Linked DNA regions of Saccharomyces cerevisiae S288C. The protein of the gene in region 1 purifies or fractionates together with the protein of each later gene. This does not show direct contact. Each region holds a gene or a part of one and is shown on either strand. Other genes may lie near its edges. The genes, in order: NOP7, RSA4, TIF6 and NOP15.

The links.
Region 2: the proteins of NOP7 (region 1) and RSA4 purify together in Saccharomyces cerevisiae (affinity purification with mass spectrometry; 7 studies listed by BioGRID, with this or other methods). This does not show direct contact.
Region 3: the proteins of NOP7 (region 1) and TIF6 purify together in Saccharomyces cerevisiae (affinity purification with mass spectrometry; 13 studies listed by BioGRID, with this or other methods). This does not show direct contact.
Region 4: the proteins of NOP7 (region 1) and NOP15 purify together in Saccharomyces cerevisiae (affinity purification with mass spectrometry; 10 studies listed by BioGRID, with this or other methods). This does not show direct contact.

The regions. Positions count from the first base shown.
Region 1 is NC_001139.9:691,814-697,734, forward strand, and holds NOP7 (mRNA-binding ribosome synthesis protein NOP7), read left to right. Parts: upstream 1-3,603; coding exon 3,604-5,421; downstream 5,422-5,921. Other genes in the region: GTPase-activating protein MDR1, read left to right, coding at 1-1,284; rhomboid protease PCP1, read left to right, coding at 1,550-2,590; GTF1 (glutamyl-tRNA(Gln) amidotransferase subunit F), read right to left, coding at 2,771-3,322; SRB5 (Srb5p), read right to left, coding at 5,632-5,921. UniProt on the Saccharomyces cerevisiae protein: Component of the NOP7 complex, which is required for maturation of the 25S and 5.8S ribosomal RNAs and formation of the 60S ribosome.
Region 2 is NC_001135.5:239,659-245,365, reverse strand, and holds RSA4 (Rsa4p), read left to right. Parts: upstream 1-3,013; coding exon 3,014-4,561; downstream 4,562-5,707. Other genes in the region: mitogen-activated protein kinase kinase kinase SSK22, read left to right, coding at 1-2,778; mitochondrial 54S ribosomal protein mL49 IMG2, read left to right, coding at 4,823-5,263; peptidylprolyl isomerase family protein CPR4, read right to left, coding at 5,355-5,707. UniProt on the Saccharomyces cerevisiae protein: Involved in ribosome biogenesis. Required for processing and efficient intra-nuclear transport of pre-60S ribosomal subunits.
Region 3 is NC_001148.4:589,764-594,948, reverse strand, and holds TIF6 (translation initiation factor 6), read left to right. Parts: upstream 1-1,879; coding exon 1,880-2,617; downstream 2,618-5,185. Other genes in the region: RLF2 (Rlf2p), read right to left, coding at 1-473; guanine nucleotide exchange factor DSS4, read left to right, coding at 1,032-1,463; YPR015C (uncharacterized protein), read left to right, coding at 3,923-4,666. UniProt on the Saccharomyces cerevisiae protein: Binds to the 60S ribosomal subunit and prevents its association with the 40S ribosomal subunit to form the 80S initiation complex in the cytoplasm. Is also involved in ribosome biogenesis.
Region 4 is NC_001146.8:415,258-420,259, reverse strand, and holds NOP15 (rRNA-binding ribosome biosynthesis protein NOP15), read left to right. Parts: upstream 1-1,771; coding exon 1,772-2,434; downstream 2,435-5,002. Other genes in the region: YEATS domain-containing protein YAF9, read right to left, coding at 1-162; YNL108C (uncharacterized protein), read left to right, coding at 434-1,246; CYB5 (Cyb5p), read left to right, coding at 2,958-3,320; DEAD-box ATP-dependent RNA helicase DBP2, read right to left, coding at 3,979-4,346. UniProt on the Saccharomyces cerevisiae protein: Involved in the biogenesis of the 60S ribosomal subunit. Required for pre-rRNA processing and cytokinesis. Associates with the precursors of the 25S and 5.8S rRNAs.

The DNA.
Region 1 (5,921 bases):
ATTGAGACTTTCATGAAAAGAACGCAACTGCGCCATATGCCAAAAACTTTCAACCTGTCCAGTGATGACTTGTCCAATATCTATGACATGTTTTACCAAAGTATAGAAACCTACAAAATTAGTATGGGAACGGGATCATCTAATATGGGTTTCGAAGTATTCATTCAGTTCTTGAGTAAATTCTGTGACTCCTGTAGACCGTGTGAAAAGGACAAAGATCCAGCTTTCCGGAAACAAAAAAGGAATTTTCTGCAAAGGTTATTTGATAACTGGGATTCTGCTCATATCGGCGAGTTGACATTGAACGATGTGGTAACAGGCTTGGATAAACTGGTAACTGTTGATCTTTTACAAGCTATAAACTATTTTTTCTCTTTATATGATACAGATGGCGATGGTGAATTGCATAGAGAAGAAGTGCTACAGTTGTCGGAAGGGCTGCTACTGCTAACGGAACCTTGGAAGAGCGGTAGATATGTAGATCTGTTAACTAAAAAGCGCATTGAAGATGATATTGCTGAAAACATCATCAAGGAAAGCGGTGGAGAGATAGCCACTATGAACCAAATCGAGTTACCAACTGGGGTTACTATTGATGAGGAAAAATATAAAGTTGAACAAGCAGAAAGATACCTAAAAGCTGCAAGCAATTTCCTACAAAGATCTTTTGAATATGCTAAAGCAGTTGATCTCGCGGAGGAGGTAAACTTGATTGACTTGTCTGATGATGAAGGCGAAGAAAAGCGAACGGTAAAACAAAAACAACTGGAAAGCATAAAGGCAAATGCAGCCCTAGATCCCACCCATCCAAAAGTAATAGATTTGCCAACATTTAGAATGATCATCCTCGCAGATGAAACTTACGAGCTTTTCTTTTCTAATACTTTACGATCATCTGTTCACGTCGACGAACATGTCAACATTGATAACAAAAATAAAGTCCTCAGAAGTATGTTTGACGGTATATTGGCAGACGGCAAAAGAGTTGCTGAGCAAGTTCGTCGTCGTGTCGATTCGGTGGCAACTAGGAGCAGCATTGCTTCTGTAGAGAGTACGCCAACAGCCGCTGCAAGTTCAATAACTACCAAAGAAGAAAAGTACGATGATCTAGATGATTTCACGTCAGAGCATCAACCCGAGAATGAAGAGTTATTACAAAGTTCCTGGTTTGAGATCGACGATGCCAATGAAACTAGCACTAAAGCCATACAAGAAAGGTCTTTTGAGCCTTTGTCGGCAAATTCCTCGGAAGAGAAGTCCAACCTTATTGAATTTGAAGCATGAAATCGTGCTTATCAATTTTATGTCACCCTAAAACATCTGTACGTGTTTATATAGATATTTAAAGCAATATTTGCCAGGATTTGGTGAAGATCCCTCATATAACTCTCATAAATGCGGATTTTCGGAGCGAAAAAAGCCTAAATTCTTGTCTGGAAGTATAATTGGCGGTGAAATAGAAAAGGTGGCAATCACGACTGAAAAGGGTACAGCTTTCGCAACTGACATATACAGACAGTGAAAAGTAATAAATTGCCCAAGTGTGAACATGTCAGGTGTAAGCTCTGTTATGCTCGGTCTTCGACCTGCTACAAGAATTTTTTTCCGCAGTAATATTTCGGTTTCACCTTCGAGGACTTTTGTATCATATATTGGAAGATCCCAGAGCACGTCGATACTCAAAAATGCTCCCAACTTAGAGGACAATGTCACAAATCTTCAGAAAATTATACCGAAACGGTTCTTTTCTCAAACATCAATTTTGAAATCAAGGTGGAAGCCTATATTCAATGAAGAAACTACTAATCGATACGTACGTTTGAACAGGTTTCAGCAGTACCAGCAGCAGAGAAGCGGCGGCAATCCTCTGGGCTCTATGACTATTTTGGGGCTCTCTTTAATGGCAGGAATATATTTTGGCTCCCCTTATTTGTTCGAGCACGTTCCACCCTTTACGTATTTTAAGACGCATCCAAAGAATCTGGTATACGCGTTATTAGGCATCAATGTTGCCGTATTTGGACTATGGCAGCTACCCAAATGCTGGAGGTTTCTACAGAAGTACATGTTGCTGCAAAAGGATTACGTAACTAGCAAAATTTCGATAATCGGAAGTGCGTTTTCACATCAAGAATTCTGGCACTTAGGTATGAACATGCTAGCGTTGTGGTCCTTTGGTACTTCACTCGCAACAATGTTGGGAGCATCCAATTTTTTCTCCTTATATATGAATAGTGCCATTGCAGGTTCTTTGTTTTCGTTATGGTATCCAAAACTGGCACGCCTAGCCATTGTCGGACCTAGCTTGGGTGCCAGTGGAGCGCTATTTGGGGTTTTAGGATGTTTTTCATATCTATTCCCACACGCTAAAATTTTGCTGTTTGTTTTCCCAGTCCCAGGTGGGGCTTGGGTAGCATTCTTGGCTTCAGTGGCATGGAATGCAGCTGGTTGTGCTTTAAGATGGGGGTCATTTGATTACGCTGCGCATTTAGGTGGCTCTATGATGGGGGTCTTGTACGGATGGTATATAAGTAAAGCTGTAGAGAAACAAAGGCAGCGTCGCCTTCAGGCTGCTGGTAGGTGGTTTTAATCACTTAAAAAAAGACACATTCTCATTCGAAATATTGTAAATACTGCTATGTCTTCTATGTACTTAATCTTATTTATGCATTTGAAAAATATTTCAGCCTTATCGTGGTGGTACATGTACAAGAAAATTCATAGGCAAAAGAATATATAGAATAGAGCGTATGTGTTACTTTTCTAAGTCTTACTTCCTGTTTTTGAGTAGTCCCTCTTTGACAACAAAATATGCATTTTTGGATTCCGCGGCAAGTCCAGTTGCTTTCCAAGATCCGCTAACTTCTCCTAGCTCAGCATCCTGCTTTTGGTGGCTGATGCCTTCAAGTAGCTTTGTGTAGTTCAGCTGTTTCGTATTTCTTTGCACCAACCGAGCATCATATTCCTTGGTGTGCTTTTCACCTTCGACAGGTATGTTATGGAGTTTGTTGATGAATGATAATTGCTTGGCAAGTCGCATTTGAATTTCTTTAATATCTGCTCCTTCCAAGGGAAGACCTGATAACCGCAACAATTTTTTTACAGCTTCAGCAGACGGTGGCTCTAGTTTTTCCTCTTTAGTGTTTATGCCTAAATATTCGTGGACGGACCATACAGGTCTTGATAAATAATCCCTTATTTGATTCATATTTTCAAATTTTTTACCAATCTTTGCCCCTCCCGTAGATACGAACCGATGACTTCCATCATGGCATAACCCACCCACTGTATGTGTTCTGCATAGACGCCATGTTTTGTACATCGTTCTAGCACTATGGGTAAGTGCAAATAGTTCGATCTAAAAGCCTAAATGCTAGTCACTATTACCTCCTTGATGTTATATTTACAGAATAATGTCATGTCGTCTGTGGTGACTATTATTATTGCCTGAAAAAATTAAAGAAAATTTTTTGCGATGAGATGAGATGAGAAAAAATGAAAAATTTTGGAAGGTTAATTAGAGATGTGTAGTAAATCCTGCTGGTGGAATACATTTTATTCCTGTAGAAAATAGTATAGTAACAGCGGTATCCTACTTATACAATGAGAATCAAGAAGAAAAACACCAGAGGTAACGCAAGAAACTTTATTACCAGATCTCAAGCTGTGAGAAAATTACAGGTTTCTCTTGCTGATTTCAGAAGATTATGTATATTCAAAGGTATCTATCCTAGAGAGCCAAGAAATAAAAAGAAGGCAAACAAGGGCTCTACTGCACCAACTACTTTTTACTATGCTAAGGATATTCAATATCTAATGCATGAGCCCGTTTTGGCTAAATTTAGAGAACACAAGACTTTTGCTAGGAAACTAACAAGGGCTTTGGGTAGGGGAGAAGTCTCTTCTGCTAAAAGGTTAGAGGAAAACAGAGATAGTTATACTTTAGACCATATTATCAAGGAGCGTTATCCAAGTTTCCCAGATGCTATAAGGGATATTGATGATGCTTTGAATATGTTATTTCTTTTCTCTAATTTGCCCTCTACCAACCAGGTTTCCTCGAAAATTATCAATGATGCTCAGAAAATCTGTAATCAATGGTTAGCCTATGTTGCCAAGGAACGCTTGGTTCGTAAAGTGTTTGTATCCATTAAAGGTGTTTATTATCAAGCCAATATTAAGGGTGAAGAAGTTAGATGGTTAGTTCCATTCAAGTTTCCAGAAAACATCCCCAGTGACGTTGATTTCAGAATTATGTTGACCTTCTTAGAATTCTACTCGACTCTATTGCATTTCGTCCTATATAAGTTATACACCGATAGTGGGTTGATTTATCCGCCAAAATTGGATCTTAAAAAGGATAAAATCATAAGTGGTTTGTCATCATATATTCTAGAATCCAGACAAGAAGACAGCCTACTAAAACTTGACCCAACTGAGATTGAGGAAGACGTAAAAGTTGAAAGTTTGGACGCATCGACATTAAAGTCTGCCTTGAATGCCGATGAGGCAAATACTGATGAAACAGAAAAGGAGGAAGAACAAGAAAAGAAACAAGAAAAGGAACAAGAAAAGGAACAAAATGAGGAAACGGAACTAGATACTTTCGAGGATAACAATAAGAACAAGGGTGACATCTTAATACAGCCAAGTAAGTACGATTCTCCTGTTGCTTCTTTGTTTTCTGCATTTGTTTTTTACGTTAGCAGAGAAGTTCCGATCGATATTCTTGAGTTCTTGATCTTATCTTGTGGTGGTAATGTCATCAGTGAAGCTGCTATGGACCAAATTGAAAATAAGAAGGATATTGACATGTCCAAGGTCACTCATCAAATTGTTGACAGGCCAGTTTTGAAAAACAAGGTAGCTGGCAGAACGTATATTCAGCCACAGTGGATATTTGATTGTATCAATAAAGGCGAATTGGTACCTGCCAACAAATATCTTCCAGGGGAGGCTCTTCCACCTCACTTAAGCCCATGGGGTGATGCTATTGGTTACGATCCAACTGCTCCTGTCGAAGAAGGCGAAGAAGAAGAAAGTGAAAGTGAAAGTGAAAGTGAAGATCAAGTTGAGGAGGAAGATCAAGAAGTTGTTGCTGGAGAAGAAGATGATGACGATGACGAAGAGCTACAAGCTCAAAAAGAGCTTGAATTGGAAGCACAAGGTATCAAATATTCTGAAACTTCAGAAGCTGATAAGGATGTCAATAAGTCAAAGAACAAAAAGAGAAAGGTGGATGAAGAAGAAGAAGAAAAGAAATTGAAAATGATAATGATGAGTAACAAACAAAAGAAACTTTACAAAAAAATGAAGTATTCTAATGCTAAAAAGGAGGAACAAGCTGAGAACTTAAAAAAGAAAAAGAAGCAAATTGCCAAACAAAAAGCTAAACTGAATAAACTAGATTCCAAGAAATAGTTTTCTCTTCTTTTCCAATAGCCTCTCAAAAATTTTGTCTTTTAATTTAACATCTTTATTACTTTATAATTCCTCGGTATAGCAACATTAGATATATAACTACACATTTTTGTTTGTAGATATAGAAATACCTGTACATTAAAAGTGGTTACTGTTGTTCTGTATAACTATATGAGTGAATTTTGTAAAAATATGCCCAGGTGCCAATGATTATATTAGAATATTTCCATGTGCTACCCTCGAGTCCATTGACTGTCTATCGGGTACACTTAACTCTATATAGCCTTGTAGTTCCTTTTTTAAGTTCATCAAGGCAGTCTCTGTATAGTTTATACGATCGATATCGGTCCCCCTACTAACATTGATGTATGCTTTTAAAAGGAACCCTCCGCTTGTTATTTGTGAATTGCCTGCTTCTTCTATTTGCCAAATTTTTTGTAACTCAAGTATTAAACCATGCTTCATAAAAAATTTCACACCAATTGTAAGATACTGAAATT
Region 2 (5,707 bases), on another chromosome or scaffold:
TCATATGCACGAAAGCTTAAAAATCCAACAATGATGATGATCGATCAAATGATCGATGATTTTAACGCTTTTATTCGACTTTCTGTGCAATTGAAGTACACACTGACAAAATATTGCTCCAATTTGCCGTTCGATGTGGATTTTGACCCGACGTTCGAAAATACTGTAATAGAAGCCATTCGTTATTTATTTTTTCTGTTGAATTTAAAGTTGATTGATTCCAGTAAACAAAATTTCAAAGCACCCGATCTACTCTTGAAATACTGGGATCACCTAAAAAACACCGGTCACTATATTAACGGTGCAGAAACCGTGATTCCAAATGAATTTCTCAAGTTAACTTTGAGACTCGTACATAAATTGCAATTCTATCTTTTGAAACAACAAAACTTCCCACCAACATTTGCTAACGCTTCAGAAGCAGAAAAATGGCTAAGTTCCATTTTCGAAAATTTGGGTGCCATGAAAAGAAAGCTGAACAGGTTCAGCAATATTCTAGTCAAGGCGTTCCAAAATTCTGCTGTTTATCAGATTAATCATAATGCACAACTTGTTAAAAAGTTAAAAGATGCTCACTATTTTTTGGTATACTCCGGTAACACTTTTGAGTCTAGTGGTGTATATATGTTTGCTGCTCCTGAATTATTAGGTTGTGACAATGATACCATCTTAAGAATTTTGCGAAATAAATCCATTGGCTGTGATTTGGTCCCAAAGCTTGACATTGGAAATAATTTGAATGTGTATGATATAACAACAAAAGAAACAGATTTGAACATTCTAGTATCGAAAGGGGAGGATTCCAAAGGAATTCCTTACTACCGAGTAGTAGCAAATTCGTCAAGTGATTTGGACAGGCATGCTCATCAGTCCAAAAAGAAGAATTTTTCAACAGACCCTTTTGATCAGCACCTTGATGAAAAGAACAATGAAGTTTTTGAATTGGAAGTTGCTTTGAGCTCATTGGGTGCACTAGTTGTACTATATCCTGGAGAGCCAGTAGTTTGGGATGGACCAGTATATAAGCTTCCAGGTAACAACCTTTTTGCATCCAACGAAATGGATTTAGGGAAAATTGGTAACCCAAATACGTTGATTTTACTCAATCAAGGTTCTAATTATGCACTGACTTATCAAATCGACAAGTTTAATCAAACGGTAGGTGATTCTGTTTCATTCATAGAGAAACGTTGTTCACTCAATTCAATTGAATCCTCCCTACAAAAAATCAATAAGGCATATTACAAACTTACTTATACAGTATTGAACAACTACAAAGGAATTCTAGGTAGCTTTATGAAGCAATGTCCGGGAAATGAGTTGTTAAATTCGATATTCATGTTTGGAAGGGATTTTGGAAGAAGTTTCCTTAAATATAACGCCTTTAGCTCAAAGAGGAAGTACGTTATCATCTTTCTGATGGTTAAATTAGGAATGAACTGGTTGAAATTCCTTGTTGAAGAGTGTGATCCTACCGATCAGCGAACTTTCCGATGGTGCGTTCTTGCAATGGATTTTGCGATGCAGATGACTAGTGGTTATAATATCCTGGCGCTGAATGTAAAGCAATTTCAAGAACTGAAGGAGAGGGTATCAGTATGTATGTCATTATTAATTTCACATTTCGACGTTATGGGTGCACGAGCCACTGAAGCTGAAAATGGCATGCAACAGGCAAGATTGAATATTGATACTGAAGAGAATATTGATGAAGAGGCCACCCTAGAAATAAACAGCAGGTTGAGACTGGAAGCTATAAAGACGTTGGAAAAGACTATGAAGAGGAATCCCAGGCAAATGGGTAAGGTATTGGATGCTACAGATCAGGGAAACAAATACCTACTATCGCTAGCATCCTCATTATCGAATGTATCAATGAGGTGGCAAAAAAGAAGCTTCATTGGCGGTGGAACATTTGGACAGGTATACTCTGCAATTAATCTGGAAAACGGTGAAATCTTAGCTGTTAAGGAAATAAAGATACACGATACCACAACAATGAAGAAGATTTTTCCCCTGATTAAAGAAGAGATGACCGTATTGGAAATGTTAAACCATCCTAATATTGTCCAGTACTATGGTGTCGAAGTACATCGCGATAAAGTTAACATCTTCATGGAATACTGTGAGGGTGGTTCTTTAGCCTCGTTATTGGATCATGGAAGAATTGAAGATGAAATGGTAACACAAGTGTACACATTCGAACTATTAGAAGGTTTGGCATATTTGCACCAATCTGGCGTGGTGCATCGCGACATTAAACCGGAGAATATCTTGCTGGATTTCAATGGAATCATAAAATATGTGGATTTTGGTACGGCACGTACCGTTGTAGGATCTAGGACTAGAACTGTGCGGAACGCAGCCGTTCAAGATTTTGGAGTAGAAACAAAGTCCCTCAATGAAATGATGGGGACACCGATGTATATGGCTCCAGAGACTATTTCAGGCTCGGCAGTTAAGGGAAAACTTGGAGCGGACGATGTATGGGCATTAGGATGTGTTGTGCTAGAAATGGCCACAGGTAGACGACCTTGGTCTAACTTGGATAATGAATGGGCCATCATGTACCACGTTGCTGCAGGTCGAATACCGCAACTACCCAATAGAGACGAAATGACTGCAGCGGGAAGAGCCTTCTTGGAAAGGTGTTTGGTTCAAGACCCCACTATGAGGGCTACTGCTGTGGAACTACTGATAGACCCTTGGATGATACAAATCCGTGAAATAGCATTTGGCAACTCAGAGAAAGATCAAGTACCTATCCTAAGCTCATAGAGTGGTCAACGTCTAAAAATATGATATACTACGATATATAATGTAATGTAATTCAATAATGGTGATGAAGGCAAGATTTCATTTAGAGCTGTTACCCGAGAAACCGGTGAAAAATTTTAAAATGAAAAAAAAAAAAAAAATGCGATGAGCTTCAAAAAGAGTATCTTTAAAAGACATATATCACAAGATTTTTATATTTGTAACCTCGATAAACACACACTAACACAATATACAGATGTCCACCCTGATTCCTCCACCTTCTAAGAAACAAAAGAAAGAGGCTCAACTTCCCAGAGAAGTAGCTATTATTCCGAAAGATTTACCCAATGTTTCAATCAAGTTCCAAGCTTTAGATACTGGTGACAATGTAGGTGGCGCCCTGAGAGTTCCCGGTGCTATCTCCGAGAAACAGTTAGAAGAACTTTTAAATCAATTGAACGGTACTTCAGACGATCCAGTGCCATATACCTTCAGCTGTACAATTCAAGGTAAGAAGGCCAGTGACCCTGTGAAGACGATTGATATAACAGATAACCTATATTCTTCATTAATAAAACCAGGCTATAACAGTACAGAAGATCAGATCACGCTACTGTATACGCCAAGAGCAGTTTTCAAAGTCAAGCCGGTAACTAGAAGTTCATCAGCCATTGCAGGTCACGGTTCCACAATTTTGTGTTCTGCCTTCGCACCACATACGAGTTCTAGGATGGTAACCGGTGCAGGTGATAATACTGCAAGGATTTGGGACTGTGACACCCAAACGCCAATGCATACTCTAAAGGGTCACTACAATTGGGTTCTCTGCGTTTCCTGGTCCCCCGATGGAGAAGTAATTGCTACGGGATCCATGGACAATACCATAAGATTATGGGACCCAAAAAGCGGTCAGTGTCTAGGTGATGCTCTCAGAGGTCATTCCAAGTGGATCACTTCTTTAAGTTGGGAACCTATACATCTTGTGAAGCCGGGCTCCAAACCAAGATTAGCTTCATCTTCTAAGGATGGTACTATTAAGATTTGGGACACTGTGAGCAGAGTTTGCCAGTATACGATGAGTGGTCACACAAATTCAGTGTCTTGTGTCAAATGGGGCGGCCAAGGTCTATTGTATAGTGGCTCTCACGATAGAACCGTACGTGTATGGGACATCAATTCGCAGGGCAGATGTATCAACATTTTGAAGTCGCATGCGCACTGGGTTAATCACTTATCTTTATCTACAGATTACGCATTGCGCATTGGTGCATTCGATCATACAGGTAAGAAGCCTTCTACACCAGAAGAAGCCCAGAAAAAGGCATTGGAAAATTATGAAAAAATCTGTAAAAAGAATGGAAATTCAGAAGAAATGATGGTTACTGCAAGCGATGATTATACCATGTTTTTATGGAACCCACTAAAATCTACCAAGCCTATAGCAAGAATGACCGGTCACCAAAAATTAGTCAATCATGTGGCGTTCAGCCCTGATGGTAGGTATATTGTCTCAGCGTCTTTTGATAACTCTATCAAACTTTGGGACGGTAGAGATGGTAAGTTTATCTCCACATTTAGAGGGCATGTAGCCAGCGTATACCAGGTTGCGTGGTCATCGGACTGCCGACTACTGGTGTCATGTTCCAAAGATACCACGTTGAAAGTGTGGGATGTAAGAACTAGAAAACTTTCTGTTGACCTCCCTGGTCATAAAGACGAAGTTTATACCGTCGACTGGAGTGTCGACGGTAAAAGAGTGTGTAGTGGTGGGAAAGACAAGATGGTAAGATTGTGGACGCATTGAGTTATGTGCAAAGACAAGTAACATACATGCACATATAAATATTATATAACTGTGATATAGAACTGCATTTTTTTCTTTTTGAATATTAAATATGATGGTGTCGCAAGGTCGATCTATAATGGTCATCGCGTACGAATGGCTTGGTATGAATTTAAAATATGGTACTATAAGCAGTATAGCTCCAGCAAGAAGGAAAACCTTTTGAAAGAAGTGCCCGTTTACCTAAAGCAACTTACTCCAAGGTAGCGTGTGAGCAAAACTATGATCAGTTCGTGTGTTACTAGATGTTTTGGTAGGGGTAAATGCCTTCCAGGGCCTGCCACTGCCTCGATATACCAAACGATAAGATGTATATCCACTAATTCAAATAAAGCTGCTGAGGCGCCAATATTTCCAAAGCTGGAAGACGTGAAGATGCATGAGCTCATAGGAAACAACAATTTTGGTAAAAAGACCTACTACGTGGAGAGAAGCAGGACCGGAAATCTACCGGTGTATTCCGCTTATAAAAATGGAGGTAACAAGATTATCACGGAGATCAGAAAGATTGAAGGAGATGTAATTCAACTAAGAAATGACTTGCAGGAGCAACTGCCTTTCATACCCAAAAAATCATGGTCTGTGGTGATGCAATCGAAAAAAATTATTATCAAGGGCAATGCAGTAGAGGCTGTCAAAAGGGTATTAACCAAGAAATTTTAGGTATCGCTAATGTATAAAAAAATAATTGTCATGTATATATATTAATTAAAATCATAGCCATGTGGTCATCAAGCCATCGAAAAGAAGTTGCTTACTTGTGTCTTAATGAAACCGTATGAGGCTTTTCGTGCATGCCCTTGTAGGCAATGAAACAAAGGCCAAGAACAGTTAAACACATCAAGGCTCTGGAAATTGGGTGGTTTAAATCATAGGCGGTGGTTCCAGTGGAGGTGGTTAAAGGTGTGTAGGCTTTATCGTTACGGAAGATGTTTTCCAAAGTGGAGCCAACAGACACATCGCCATTTCTAAACTTCTCGACTTTTTCTGTGTACGCAGCGTGCAAATCTAAGATGTTACTAATTTTTAAGATTTCTAGAACGAAATACAGGAACCGTAATTCATGCTGAGGCTTTCCATATTCGTCTGTTTCTGTGTATTGAATAG
Region 3 (5,185 bases), on another chromosome or scaffold:
TTTCTGTGTTTCTCTTCTGCACGTTGCTGCTTTTTTAGTTCCTTTTCTCTTTTAGCTTCTTCCTTTTTCGATGAGGAAAGTTCTCTCTTAGAGCATGGAGAAGAGCTTCTGCTTTTTGTCTCGATAGCTATTATATTTCCATTGGGTACTTGTTTGTTGGTGTTTCTATCGTATTTTGTACTTTGTATGGGTGAATTTTTGTAGCATAAAAGCTTGTCTTCAGCATTGGCCTTCTTAGGTGTCGTTTTCATTTCATCTGCACACTCTTTATTGATGCTTTTCATGGTTTCTTGTTTAACAGTTTCTATCATAGGTCCACTGACATCCTCTTTAGGATCATCTAGAGTGATGACATCCTTCTCTTTCGTGAGAAACTTATTACTCTTTACCGTAGTTGTATTCTGGAAAAAAGATAGTATGCCTTTTTTCTTAGTGTCGTCCTGTAGAGGAATTGATTTGAGATGTTGCTCCATTTTCCCTTTTCCTTTCGATTCTCTTCTGTCTTGAGGTTCACTAAAACATATAATTCTCTGTAACAGCAATAACAGAATGTTCTTCTCCTCAACGAATTGGCTGGAAAAATGATGTATTTCAAGAAGTGGAACCAATAAGAATTTTATTTTTTAGTCAGTTCGCAAACCTTTTGGTTTAACGATGTAGATCTTTCTTTTTTTCAGTTGAAGCCTTTCACGCGTCCGAACGCGTGAGCATATATGCAAGCCGTCTGACACTATAGATCGCGCCAGGTAGGGAACCACTTGATCCAGCACGATGAGCCCGACAACTCAAAACTCCCTTCTTCTGTATCAAAATACTTTTCAGCATATCCATATCATTCTTCCTTTCTCTTCGTAAAGGCTGACTGGGCGCCGGGGACCCGCTAGTTTAGTAGTACTGTGAATATCGTCATTGTCGTACTGAACGATTATATATCGATCATTTTAATTAATGAAGTACATATCAAAAACTTGACTGGTATGAGTAGAAAGTTCAATTAAAAGGGCTGGAAAAATGGGGGAATAACAGAGAACATGAGCAAGGCTACGTGTTCCTTTGAGGGCTGTCATAGTGCAGTTATTACCATCAACGATGATAACATAATAAACTTACCAGAGCAGGTGCACAGCGAATTCAAGTTGCTGGAAAACAGAACTATGCGAGATGCTACCCCCAGCGAGAGCAACTTCTTGGTCGTCCCTGATGTTTGGGACTTTGATAATGTTGGTGTATCTAGAGAAATTCCTTCTTCTATATTAGGGGATTTGAGTGATAAGAGTGATTTTGTCTTTGAGTATGGTAATTCCAGCTGGAAGATTAAAAAGTGCTTGAAATATTTGATATGCGCTGATTGTGATAAAGGTCCTATTGGAATAATATGTAAGGTGCAAGATCAGACAAAGAATGAAGAAAGAGTTTTGCATCTACTAAGCTTGCGAAGCCTTCAAATTATGGGAAGGAATTAGTTTGGTAGGCACTAGAACAAAAATAGGTTGCCGCCACCAGAAAAAAAAAAGAGTAACCAACCACCTATTTCACTGGCATGGGCCACCTATAACAAGCTATAGAAGTAGTTCTGGTTTACATTACTAGCATCACTTTATGTAATAATATAGGCATTCTGGACGAAATCCTAATGGATGAGCATTACCCGTTTTTTCCGAGGGCCAAACGAAAATTTTCGGAAAATTTTTATTAATTAAAGATTTAAACCCATATTCCTTTGTGCAGATTTTTTCTTTTACTGTATGTAACGCAATATTCAATATTGCATAATTAAAAGAAGCCTCATCCCTCGTTGGTCTTATAGTATAATTACAAGAAGCAATACGACAGAGTATTTGGAACAAGAGCATAATTCAACTAACTCTAGAAAACAATAATGGCTACCAGGACTCAATTTGAAAACTCCAATGAAATCGGTGTATTCTCCAAATTAACGAATACTTACTGTTTGGTTGCTGTTGGTGGTTCTGAAAACTTTTACTCTGCATTTGAAGCTGAATTAGGAGATGCTATTCCCATCGTTCATACCACTATTGCTGGTACGCGTATCATCGGTAGAATGACCGCGGGTAACCGTAGAGGTCTGCTAGTTCCAACCCAAACTACTGATCAAGAATTACAACATTTAAGAAATAGTTTGCCGGATTCCGTTAAGATTCAAAGGGTAGAGGAAAGACTATCTGCCTTGGGTAACGTCATCTGTTGTAATGATTACGTTGCTTTAGTGCATCCAGATATCGACAGAGAAACTGAAGAATTGATAAGTGATGTACTAGGCGTTGAGGTCTTCCGTCAAACCATATCAGGTAATATCTTAGTTGGGTCATATTGTTCTTTAAGTAATCAAGGTGGGTTAGTGCATCCACAAACAAGTGTCCAAGATCAAGAAGAATTGTCCTCCTTATTACAAGTTCCTTTGGTGGCTGGTACCGTTAACCGTGGTAGTTCAGTTGTCGGTGCCGGTATGGTTGTGAACGATTACTTGGCAGTTACAGGTCTGGATACTACAGCCCCAGAATTGAGTGTTATTGAAAGTATTTTCCGCTTGCAAGATGCCCAACCAGAATCCATTTCAGGTAACCTACGTGATACTTTGATTGAAACCTACTCATAGATGTCAGGTACTCCTGAGGGGATTCCCCTCCTTCCTCAAGTCTGTTTACAGTTGTATGCGAAAGAGTCCCCATGTTGCAATAATCTTCTTACGTATCATTTGTGGTATTTTTTTTGGTATAACAAATATTTTTTCTTAGGTTTCTATGCATTTTAATTTTAGTTGTATGTATATTATGTACTCTTTTATTTTTTTTTTTTTTCTTATACCTATGGGTGACTATTCATTGCAGTTTAAGTAGGCGTCTTAATTGTAACATGTAGTCACTTTGTTCGAAGCATATGTAACGGGTTTCTAAGCAAATTCTTTGCATAATATGGATTTTCCGTCCGCTTCTCCGACTATTCTGACAACTTGCTCAGTTCCAAGTATCTGTTAGACAATATAGAACTTCTCCAAGAAAAATTGCACCGCACGTAGACCATTTGAAGGCTTTTTTGTCTAGCTGCTAGGACATACTATTGTCTCCACCAGAACCCGGAGAGTAGTATCTCTTGGCAAAGATTAATAAAATCGAACAAAGCTAATAGAACACCGGGGGTTGTGCGGTAAGATTTTCACAAGCGGTACAGAAGTGAGCCGTAAAATTATATATATATATATATATATATGGTGTACAACAAGTCAGCCGTCCATTTATGTGCTATCAAGCGAACTACGTTTCATCTCTTCAACTTGGTAGTTCTTGAGATATAAACACCCTGATCCATCGTACTCACTGAAATAGCAACAACTCCCTGAGTTCCATTGCCACGCATACCCACTCTCATATCCAGAAACAGCTAGTATTTCGATGTTTTTCCGCTCGAAGAAACTTCCGTAGTATTGTTGAGGTGTTGGGGGCATCGTTCCTTTTCGTACGCCAAAAATTCTTCCTCTATTGTTTCCAGAAAATCGTTGCAAAAAAATAAGTCCGCCACGCTGTTTTCTGTGACAACTCTATCTGGAGCCTTCACTAATGGTTTAAAAGGCACGATTTCCACAGAAAGTTTCGCAGCACTTGTTTGTACAAGGAGCGTAAAGCACCGGAAATCTTTTCCCACTGAAACCCTAAATATGAACGGCATTTGGTTGCCATGAGATACAGTCCCAAGAATTCTTTATATTATATAAGCGCTAGTTGTTGTCGCTCTTTTGACCTCATTGGTAGATATTTCAAATTACAAAATTATAATTGTTTTCTTGGTCCAACTTTTTTCTTCTTTTTGGAGGGCATTGCAAGGATCCAATACGATAAGCAAACGTCTTCATTGACCCGTTTCTAACTTTTAATATACATAAATTTTCATCTTCAACACTAATTAAATGTGGAGAACAAAAACGCTAGAATCTATGCTTTGTAGCCCAATGAAATGTTCATCGTCTAACATAGGGGGATCCTATGCGCAATCTTCAAAGGAAGTCTCGAACACGACCAAAAGGGAAGTGCATCTTCCACCTTGTTCGTCGATTATGCACGCTCCACTTACTCCTGAAATAAACCAGGCCGCACTACCACCTCCCGCTTACCATTACGCACCTTCTTCTCTGCATCAGACAGAGGATCCCGTATGGAGATCAAGTCCCAACTCTATTATCTTTTCGCCGGTTATAGCAACACCGCAACCTTTCCCTTTAACGTTCGTTGAACGTCAATCTTGTTGCCCTATTTATTCAACGGCAGCTTCCTCTTATACTGCCCAATCTGTACCTCCATCAATGCAGCATTTTCAGGAGGAAAACCACAGAGCGGTGAGCAACGAGCAGTACTCCCTCCCGAATGTGCATATAGGGCAAAATCCTGGGACGCTATTATCCCAAACACAAACCGACTTAGATCTTATACAAAAGCAACTGCGCGCTGTGGTAAAGCTACGGAAACAATGTCCTATCTGTGGGAAGGTTTGTTCGAGACCTTCAACACTGAGGACTCATTACTTAATACATACGGGAGACACACCTTTCAAATGTACTTGGGAGCATTGCAACAAATCTTTCAATGTCAAGAGTAACATGTTAAGGCATTTAAGAACCCATCAAAAGAAAATAGCAAAGAAAAAACATCAGTGAAAGCATTGTTTAGAATATTTTGTTTTCAGTGTGATTTTGATGTAGGTGTGACACTTTTTACCAAGTAAAATGAGTATAGATATGTATTAGTTCCATATAATATATTACATGTAGCCAACAATCAATTTTTACTGACTTCCGATTTTTGAATAGTGAGAGGATTTTTGTTCGAATTATAATTTCTACAAGAAATTTGTTTGCGAATGCATCAGCATTTGTAATACGGTTCTATACTGCCGCACGATACATTTTATTCTGTCTAGTTCGTAAGACAAAGGACCTTTTCATTTAGTACAACGTTGCCGACACGGATGTCTTGATGAATCTCTGTACCAGGAATTCAATTACCTGACTAGTATGCAGTTCACTATCAAAAAAAAAAAAAAGGTTAAATTGGTATAATCATGGTTAAAGAACAAACAGCCTCTTTCCTCTACAAAAGTATGTTAAATGTAGGTAGTTCAAATTGCGGTCACGTATATGCCAACGTTGTTAATATATAATGATCCATTGGAACAA
Region 4 (5,002 bases), on another chromosome or scaffold:
ATCTTCATTTTGTGGGCCCCTGACAAAAATTGTCCATAAATGAGTATGTTCGGCAGGAGCATTTGGTGGTTTAACGCTACCCATCTTTTTAGCCGTATTGCCATATATTATTGGTCTGCTCACGGAGAGAGTTTTTATCCTTTTGCTTATTGTCGGAGCCATCTCGCTTTCTTTGTGATGCCGTAAATAGGTGGTCACAAGTAATGTATCTATCCCTCTAGCTTTCGAAGGCTACTTGTTCAGTTGCACATAGAAGACATCTAAACTCTGGAAAAATAATCAATGGTGCCGAAGCGTCATCACGTCATCCGAATAGCGGATATTTCGAAATTTATAAAAAAGCTTTGAAAACAATCCTAGAAGTAAAGCAGTTTCGTTCAATATGTAAGACGTTCAATTAGTTGTACAAGAGGTTAAAATAGTGCTATAAATTATGGCTATCGAAAATATATACATTGCCAGACATGGTTACAGGTCAAACTGGCTACCAAAGGGACCATATCCACCACCGCCCACCGGTATTGATAACGATGTCCCGCTTTCGGAACACGGTGTTGAACAGGCACATGAACTGGCGAACTATATCTCTAAATTAGATGTCAAACCAGAAATGATTTTCTCCTCCCCATTTTACCGCTGTTTAGAAACTAGTAAACCCACAGTGGAGGCTTTAAAGATTCCATTATATGTCGATCGTGGTGTAGGAGAATGGTATAAGCCTGATAGACCCATTATCCCGGAGCCTGCTACTCATGAAGTTATGAGTAAGTTTTTTCCAAGCATGATCTCTCCAGACTGGGAACCTAGTATTATTCCTAGTAATAAGGGTGAAACAGAAGAAGATATTTTTGAGAGGTGCCATAAATTCTGGCCTGTCTTTATTGACAGAGTGGAGAGAAAATTTCCAAATGTAAAGACCATTATGATAGTTACCCACGCAGCCACTAAATCCGCTCTTGGTATGAACTTGTTGAAATTCTCCAGTGCCAAAGAGCCCATTGATAACAAAGGCACCTTTATAAGAAATGGAAGTTGTGCTATTGATAAATTTGAGCTGGTGAAAGGAGAAAATGAAAGTATACCATTTGAAGAGAGAGAGTGGAAACTTACAATGAATGGCAACACCTCCTTTTTAACTAATGGGGAAGAAATGAATTGGACGTTTATGAATGCCTTTGAGGCTGGTTCAGACGCTGATATCAAAGCGAGAAGAGCAGCTGAGAGCGGAAAACTAAAAATGGAGTGAAAACTAAAGTGAGTCTTGAATTCTGTACTTCTCATTATACACTTCTGCATTTGATTTTTATTTCATGATGAAGCTGTGTGAATATATATATATATATACATATGTCAAAGTCTAGTGTAAATTGATAGAATTAACAGTATCTTTTAATATCCCTAAACTTCAAAATTCAAGGTTCAACGATTGAAAGATGAGCTGTCTAGGTAGTAGTACCGAAACCTTTCGAGTTTTGTGCTATCTCTGAAAACTCATTATCCTGCTAAACCCTTTCTAATGTGCATAGCAGCTATTGCAACTTTAGCATCCTCATTACAGACGGCATAGCAGAGACGTATGCGGTTACCCCCCAGATTTTGCCTGTTTCTTTTCACTATGAAAAATTTTCCGCCATAAGAAAAAATGAAGTAGTGCATCGCATCTCATCTCATCACTTAATTTGAAGACGATTACCATTACTTTTAACTTCATTAACTACCTTTTCTATAGGGTTAAGTTCTAGAGATAAAATAACAGAGGAAAGAGATCGATATGGTAAAGTCAACAAGCAAAACTTCCACCAAGGAAACAGTAACCAAACAACCCACCGAAGAAAAACCTATACAGGAGAAAGAAGAGTTGGCTCTAGAAACATCGTCTAGCAGTTCAGATGAAGAAGACGAAAAAGATGAAGATGAAATTGAAGGTTTAGCCGCTTCTGATGATGAGCAGAGCGGTACACACAAGATTAAAAGATTGAATCCTAAGAAGCAGGCTAATGAAAAAAAGTCGAAAGATAAAAAGACACTTGAAGAGTATTCTGGGATTATTTATGTGAGTAGACTGCCACATGGGTTCCACGAAAAGGAATTAAGTAAATATTTTGCTCAATTCGGTGATTTAAAAGAAGTGAGATTAGCACGTAATAAGAAAACTGGAAATTCCAGACATTATGGCTTCTTAGAATTCGTTAATAAAGAGGATGCAATGATCGCCCAAGAATCTATGAACAATTACTTGTTGATGGGTCATCTACTACAAGTGCGTGTATTACCAAAAGGAGCTAAAATCGAGAAATTGTACAAATACAAGAAGAGAGTTCTAGTAGAGAAAGGTATCACCAAACCAGTAAAACAGCTAAAGGATAACATGAAGCAAAAACATGAAGAAAGGATAAAAAAATTAGCCAAGTCAGGTATCGAATTCAAATGGTGACTTGTCACTTCTCATCCACCCTGAGAAAAGGGTTTTGTAAGATAGAATAGGAGATATAGCAAACTTGGGAAACCATTTATATCATTAATTCCAGCAATATAGTTCCGTTTGTCCGTATTCAATGATATTTACATGATTGCTTTTACGAAGATTCAACGACCAAAATCACGGAGCGGGTAATAGCCTGGAGTTTCCGGATGAAAAATTTAACGGCCCAGAAAAAGAACAATAGCTGCAAAAAAGAAAGCTATACGAGATCGAGATAGTGAGAGAGGTTAGCATAACGAGAAAATTTTTGTCGCATTCGTGGCCAAAAAGCGATATTTGAGAAGCATTGTTATTATATCAATAAATAACAAATATATATATTGTCCTTTTTCCAATAACTATATAAAGAACAAGAAGCTTTTGAAACTTTCTCAAAAATTTTCGTTCAGGCTTCCTCGTTAATATTTAAATTCGATTTTCATTTTCTTCATAGTAAAGAAAATCAATCAACTACAACATAAAATATCAAACAATCATGCCTAAAGTTTACAGTTACCAAGAAGTTGCCGAACACAATGGCCCAGAAAATTTCTGGATTATCATCGATGACAAAGTTTACGATGTTTCTCAATTCAAAGATGAACATCCAGGTGGTGATGAAATTATAATGGATTTGGGTGGACAAGATGCTACAGAAAGCTTTGTCGATATCGGTCATTCTGACGAAGCATTGAGACTACTGAAAGGTTTATACATTGGTGACGTTGACAAGACCAGTGAGCGCGTTTCTGTGGAAAAGGTATCTACCTCTGAAAACCAAAGTAAAGGTAGTGGTACATTGGTTGTCATATTGGCCATTTTAATGCTAGGTGTTGCTTATTATTTGTTGAACGAATAATTTTTCTTCCAGAATAGCCCACACTCTTCTCCAAACTCAATTGAATTTTTCGTTTCAGTTTATTAAATTATTTATTTACAAGCAATCAAGGCCAAATTAATGTCTTACAACATTAACTTATGCTACTATATCGCATAGAAGTATGTCACTGTATCATAGAATCTGCCTGGCAGATAGAATTATTATAAATTAATATGTATATACTTATCTTTGTGTATGGCTAAAAATCATCGTCTTAGATAAAAAAAAAAAAGGCAAATAAAGCTCTGCTCTTACTTCAATACGATCAACCTGGTTGTCGTGCATTTCGCTCATTCTAAAATGACCCATAAGCGCTAGTGCACGACTTCTTTGTAAGTCTACTGTTTTTTTGAAAATCATTCGTTTAACATCGGCCCCAGGGTTGTACGAGAACAAAGAAAAGTGTCTGTCCTATTATTTTACGGCACACTAAGCGTTATGCGAAATAACTTCAATCCAGTTGCCACCGTTCACCCAAAAACTTAGGAGTATTAAAGAAAAAGTGTGACGAAGAGCTTTAAAATATTAAAAATGTAGTATACAGCAAATAAAATTTTATCATGCATTGAAGAAATAAGGTGCAGTCAACTTATATAATTATTATTAATAGAGATGAATGAATTGAATCACTTTGACTTCAATAGTTTGAACGACCTCTGTTACCCCAGCCACCATCTCTCTGCCTGTTACCGCCGTAACCACCACGGCCACCACCGTAACCACCTCTACGGCCATAGCCACCACGACCACCACGACCACCACCGTATCTTGGGTGACCGCCACCATAAGATCTCCTGTCGTATTTCAATAATTCGGGAGGAATATTTTGATTAGCTTCTCTCATGATAGAGATTAATTTAGCACCTAAACCTTTGTTTTGTTCGGTGAAGAAAGATATAGCAGTACCAGTAGCACCTGCTCTACCAGTTCTACCGATTCTGTGAACATAATCTTCAATGTTACCTGGCATATCGTAGTTGATAACGTAATTGATACCTTTGACATCTGAAAAAATAAAGAAGTAAACAAACGTTTACAAAGCATACTGTTAGTAATTTGGTTCGTTATTCTGTATATGAACTTTATTTTCATGCCCCCCACAAATTCATGTTTGGACTCCCAACATTGTCTCAAATTTCCCCCTGGCTTGAAGATTATCAGAAATTATATTTTTATTAAAGAATTCGAAATATTTAATCATCAATACTCCAGAATCCTTATTCAAACTGAATGAAAGCTAGCACTTAAAAAAAGGAAAACAAAGTAAATGATTTCTGAATATGGTTGAAATCCTTTTATTTTGTTATTTTCCATTTTTATCAGCACTTCTTAATAATTCGAACTTGGGATGCAACAGTATCTCAATATAACTACAAAATGCATAAACTACACAAAATGAGAATAACAATAGTCAAGAAGGATGACGGCATTTCAAAGTAGAATATACTATTATTTTTCCAATAAAACAATCTACCCTTGTACAAATGCCAAGCATTGAAAAAAACAACGATCAACGAAGCGTATGTATGCGTTCTAGAAATAAGCTGAAAAGCCAATTCCTTGTTTATTTGCGCCGATGTCAAAAAGCGAAATTTCTTTTGACATGAAGTGCAAATCATGAACACAAATACACTTCTCCGAGTTTATAATTTCCCGTCTCT